Kluyveromyces lactis: one gene and its partner. The protein of the gene in region 1 interacts with the protein of each later gene in a pairwise test. Links are inferred from orthologs where the notes say so. Each region holds a gene or a part of one and is shown on either strand. Other genes may lie near its edges.

Region 1 (3,524 bases):
TATCGCGTTCCTAAACTATCTTGCCTCAGCGTCTTTTCTAATGCTACCGCTGGAACACTTTAGAGTTACTGGATCCTTTGTTAGCTTCTTTCCTTTCGAACGCTTGGCATAAAACCCTGAGTGAATAAGTCCAGTTTATATTTATACCATATGTGTTCTTTATTTATATAACACAAAAATTTTTTTGTTACTATAATTACCAGTTTTAGAAATGTAAATACAGTGTGATCCATAAAGGCTTGAAACAGAGAAGACCAAAGGACCAGAGGTTTGAGTTGTCCTGATGGAGGTTGTAATTCGTAGGGCCATCCTGTATCTGGTGTAACTGGTATAGTTTTGTTATGTAGTACTATGATGAGGTATGAATTGCATGTCTTTGCGTATAAGATTCATAGTTCAAATTCAGACATGTGGGCCCAATTCATTAGGACGATCATATTTCAGTAAGATTAGTAACCGTAGTAGGGGTTTATAGAAATGGAGGTGAGTTATGATTTTAATCACAAATCACCAAAGGATTGGTAGACTTGGTTCCAGTCGTTGTAGAATCCGTTAAAGAATTTAACTGCCAAGCCGATATCTTTACTACCAGTTGTAGCTCTAATGCTATGCATTGACCATTGAGCAATACCCATATCAATGGTTCTAGCACCTGTTTGGGATGCTAAAGAAGGACCAATGGTGCCTCCAGATCTGGAATTGTTCTTGATTTGGAAGTATTGGATCTTGTCCCCGTTCAATCTACCCAATTCTTCCACCAATGCGGTCCCAACAACGTCTGTAGCCATATGAGCGTTGGAATCCAATGCAAGGGTGATCCCAACGTTTGGCTTTGGTTTATGGTTCTCTAAATATACTGAGTTGAAGTTTGGGTTTAACATGTGTGTGACGTCTGCAGAGATGATGATAGAGTTGGCGAATGCCGTACGCGTCTCAGAGACGTCGTTTCCCCTGCTAGCAACGATTCTTTCGACCACTGATTCTAACAATCCACCTTTAGCACCTTGTCTTGTCAACGATCCAACTTCTTCGTCGTCATAAAGCACTGCGACGTTAAATCCATCCTTTTTATGGCCAGTCTTCTTGTGCTCTATCAACCCATTGATGGCACTGAACGAGCAGATTCTGTCGTCAATACGAGGAACAAAGATGAATTCGTCTTTAAGACCGCCGAAAGTACCCTTTTGCACATCGAATAAGTCCAAGTCAAATTGCGTAATGGCAGACACTTTAACGGATAGTAACTTGGCAATGTATCTCAATAAATGGATACTATGTTTGCCGTACAACGGGCTCTTCTTTTCATCCTCGACGTCGTGGTCCTCATCATCATCATCGTAGTCTCCATTACCGACGTAGCCAATCACGGGCACAGTTTGGTCCTCCTTATCGAATGGACCAACACTTGGTGCACCGAAATGTGGTGCCAAAGATGGAATCCTAGCGATAGGGTGTGGAGCCGAGTTGCACAAATGCGAACTGATCTTACCAGTATCAGGGTCCTTAATTAGGACACGACCACCGATCCCAAGGTCTCTGTCTAACCACAGTTCATTTAAAGTACCACCGTATGGAGCTACACCTAACAATTCGAATCCTTCCACATCAGGTTTCTTAGAAGAAGGTTTCAACTTCGCAGTTAAGGCGTCAATATGGGCACCAATGATACCAACACCTAACTCAGGTTTCCATTCGGGTCCCACCGCAAAGGCACAGAGGTTTGTACCATTTCTGGTCGTATAGTAATGGCCCGGTTCAACGTTGGACCAAGAACTCTTTTCACTGAGATAACCGAAGCCATTCTCTTCCAATTTCTTGGCAAAATACTTGACGACGTGGTAAATGGTAGGGTTTTCATATGTGAAATCTATGTACTCTTGCGAGTACTCTCTGAACGTCGCTTTGTTCGAGAATTGGCTTTGCTTACTAGTCGACTTCTTGGTAACCTTGTCATTTTGGTTGTTAACGTCTCTTGACCTAGGTTCAATGACGGCTAGTTGTTTCAAGACGTCGCTTAGAGCGTTGATAGTTTCTTTGCTTATTTCGATGTGTTCTGTCATTGGGTTGCACTTTTCGGATGGTGTTTGTCTCTTTGAGCGCTGTTATGTTATCAGTGTCTTTATCTTTAATATAGGGGAGAAGAAGAAACTGTGATCGATAGACGTTAAAAGTAATTCAGAGTCCTGTACAGCGAGCGAAATATGACTTGAATTGGGAGCGGAGTGTGAATATCGAGGGATAGTAACGTTATTAAGCGTTGTTGAAGATCAATTAGTTACTATTCTCAGGGGAGAGTGGTGCGAGATGGTTGCTATAAGATATCATGGATAAGTTTAAGTCATAGTTCGTATAGGCAACAGAATTGATAAAGGTCACGTGACAATATCTAGTTGTTTTCGGCCGTGTAAATTCAAAGGTCACGTGGTTGTGCCTATATTTCATTCAGATAAACCAAAAGTGCTGATGCCCGTGCCCGTGCCAGCACACTGGCAGCAACCAACACAATTATTGAACCAGCGCCGAAAGCCCTGGTTCAAATCTATCACAGCAAGTTGAACTTGCCATGTTCTCGACTTTACTGCTTCTGCCAATTTTCGCGTTTTCGCGTCTTCGTCTTCGCGAACAAAGCTCAAACTCGCGTCTTGCTAGTATTTACTAGTCGTGCAGAATGACTTCAACTATTTACCAAATAAAGCCCTTTCATGAAATATATGCACACATAACAATGTTTGAATCAGAATTTGAAACCAAACAACATCCAAGAGAGAAGACACCAAGCAACGTTAACATCATCAGTAACGCTGATTTGTCGCTCTGCTGGAACTGCAAATTACAAGGCTAGGTCTACCATTTGAATTATAAGGAAGAAGAAGAATACTAATAATAATAAGAAGAAGAAGAATCATTGATTTGATCACAGAGTGTGTTTATTTTCCAATCATTACATTCGCTTATCATACTTAAACACTCACACACGCTCTCTTCTGCTCTTTTGCTTTCTCAATTTCACTCGCTTGCTTTGTTTGTGCTAGATGTCGTGTGCTGTTCAAGCTGCCGTTGTGGCAATGAAGGATAATTCTAGTCACGGCCAGGTCCCATATCGTGCAAATAATGAACATTTGAATAGGGTTGTTCAGTCAGTAACAGACGCTACTAAGCGTCTTTCACAGATTTCGACTGCATCGTCGAATGCTAATGTTAATAATACCAAGACTTCGAAGAGGAGAAACCGCGATACGGTAGGTCCCTGGAAATTGGGTAAGACTTTGGGGAAAGGGTCATCGGGTCGAGTTCGTCTAGCAAAGAATATGGAAACGGGGAAACTGTCAGCGATTAAGATAGTTCCCAAAAAATTCGTTAAGTCGAACCAGATCAAACAGCTGCCATATGGGATCGAACGTGAGATTATCATTATGAAGCTTATCTCGCACCCCAATGTGATGGGTCTCTACGAGGTATGGGAAAACAAATCTGAGTTATATTTGGTATTGGAATATGTTGAAGGTGGTGAATTGTTCGACTAT
Region 2 (2,367 bases), on another chromosome or scaffold:
TATCGAATGCTTTGTTGGCAATTCCAGCTCATAGTAAGTCCACCGACAGTGAGCTGTGTACGGCCAAATTCGTTCAAGCAAGAGCATTGAGAAGGAAGGTTCTACGTTATTTGCAACTGATTACCGGTGGTGAACTTTTAGGTGCTTTACTCCATGCTAACGAGGAGTTGGTCAATGCATTGATGGCATTTGACCAATTAGCCGAAGAAGGAGACATGGCTTCTTTGAATGAACGTGACAGTGATGAAGATGATCAAGAGGACAACGAAGCTTACATTTCTGATGAGGCATCAATACCTTCGTACACATCTAGAGGTGGAGCCGCTCAGCCCAATGATCCATTTAGCGATAACAATAAAATTAAGAATTGATGCGATCTCCTGGCGGAGCGTAAAAAACCGTAGAGCCATCTGTTTTAATTGTGTAATATTGTACACCTAATATAACTAAGTGAGCTAAATAATTGCAAACCTACAACTATTTGCCTAATCTGGTGAGCACTAACCTTCCTTGAAGTTCAAACTGCAACTGTTGACACAATGTCTTTGGTCAGTTGGCAAATTCAAGATTTTCTGCCATCCCTCCCCTTCGAACACATGCCCCATATGACCACCGCATCTACTGCAGCATATTTCTATACGAACCATCCCAAACGATTCATCGCGAGTAAAAGTTAAAGATCCCGGTATAGCATCATAAAACGCAGGCCATCCGCAGCCTGAGTCGAACTTCGTCTCACTCTTATAAATAGGCAAATCGCAATTTGCACATGAGTAAATCCCTGTTTGTTTGTTGTGCAAGTAATTTCCTGTGTTTGGTCTCTCCGTACCCTTATCACGTAGTACTCTTAGCTGTTCTGAAGTCAAACTCGGATTCCATTTACCGGTGCTATTCATTGTTCTGTAAAATTGCTTTGATAAGTTTAAAGATAAAATCCTTGAACAACTTCTTGAGAGCATCAAAAGTGTGAAACAATTATGGAGTGGTAAAACTTTAAGAATTATACCTATCAACAAAATAATGAAAGCTGAACAATAGATCCGATGGTGATTACAAATGCGAGTTTCCAGTTGTTTTCTCTTTACGATAGCATGGCTCATCGGCTTCTTGCAGAAAGCTAGTTGAAAAAATCCAAAATTCTATAATTTACAGCTTAAACATCTTTGTCAATAAAGAGCAATCTACAAAACGAAAGAAGGAGGTTGATTACGGAAGCAGCAAACCAGTCCGCCCAGTTTTGACCATTACCACAGCTACTTACCAAATAGAAAATATCATAGACTGTAAACGATATTCAACACTATGTCATCTAATTATCCAACAACAATGTCTTGCACTGATGCATTTGATCAGTTAACAGGATGTTTCAGTTTAGGAGGTCAGTTTAGAAATTACTACAGACATGGCCACATGAACGAATGTCTGAAAGAATTCGAGAAATTTAAGTTTTGTGTGATCCATAGTAAAGATCCCGTGAAGGTACAGGAATGGCACAAAGAGCAGTGGCAGAAGAACCAAGAAAGGAAAGGTACCTCCGATGACATTTGGAAAGAAAGAGTATAAACCATGGCCGTTGGAATGATAGATAGTTGTATATTTTCCACACGTATGTCCTGTAAATAAATGAATCAAAGTTACGATTGCATCGAAATACTTCTAGCGCGAATGTAGTAACAGGATTACCCCGTTCCCCAGGAATCTTATGTCAGAATATTCGCAGGGTTCCTTGTCATTTCTTTATGATTTCCGACAATATGGGAAAATCTATATTTAAACTTAATCGATTATTTGAATAAAACCAAGTGATACCAGAAAGTTGATGAAAGGAGATCCGGGGAACAGCTCAGTCTGTGGAGCATATCATTGAGCCAACAGAAGCATATTGATCAGTGGCTAACCAGTGATTCAATTGTGTTTTTACATCTCTTAAGAACAGGCATAGAAACAAAAACAAATAATGAGCGGTACAAATGAATGGTCAACTGAGGAGGTTTGCAAGAAAGTCAAAGCAGAACTTGGATTAACGGACGGAGATACATTCATCCTAGATAGAATACGAGAGAACAAGATAACTGGATCTACGTTATCTGAAATCACACTTGCCGATTGCAAGGAGTTATGTCCTGATAGCATTAGTGCCGTGAGGCTTAAGACATGCATAAACAAATTTGTTGACACGGAAGAACAAGCACCGGAACAAGAATTAGTGTTGACTATGAAAGGCTTACACCAGACGTTAAATGAAAAGTTACAAGAATTCCAATCTAATTATGCGCAACTCAGATTGGATTTGTTGGAAATCGTGAAGAGGAACAGTGGATCTGGTTCAGGTTCCTCTCAGTCTTCTCAACAACTTCAACATCAACC

What was found.
Region 2: the proteins of APE1 (region 1) and MXR2 interact in a two-hybrid assay, tested with the Saccharomyces cerevisiae proteins (2 studies listed by BioGRID). The link is inferred for Kluyveromyces lactis from reciprocal best matches to the Saccharomyces cerevisiae genes APE1 and MXR2.

The regions. Positions count from the first base shown.
Region 1 is NC_006042.1:1,256,218-1,259,741, reverse strand, and holds APE1 (metalloaminopeptidase APE1), read right to left. Parts: upstream 2,061-3,524; coding exon 501-2,060; downstream 1-500. Other genes in the region: protein kinase HSL1, read left to right, coding at 3,033-3,524. UniProt on the Saccharomyces cerevisiae protein: Resident vacuolar enzyme that catalyzes the removal of amino acids from the N-terminus of peptides and proteins. Also acts as the major cargo protein of the cytoplasm-to-vacuole targeting (Cvt) pathway.
Region 2 is NC_006039.1:103,855-106,221, forward strand, and holds MXR2 (peptide-methionine (R)-S-oxide reductase), read right to left. Parts: upstream 1,101-2,367; coding exon 501-1,100; downstream 1-500. Other genes in the region: LSB5 (Lsb5p), read left to right, coding at 1-371; EMI1 (Emi1p), read left to right, coding at 1,303-1,563; STE50 (Ste50p), read left to right, coding at 1,958-2,367. UniProt on the Saccharomyces cerevisiae protein: Methionine-R-sulfoxide reductase which catalyzes the reduction of methionine sulfoxide (MetSO) to methionine in proteins. Plays a protective role against oxidative stress by restoring activity to proteins that have been inactivated by methionine oxidation.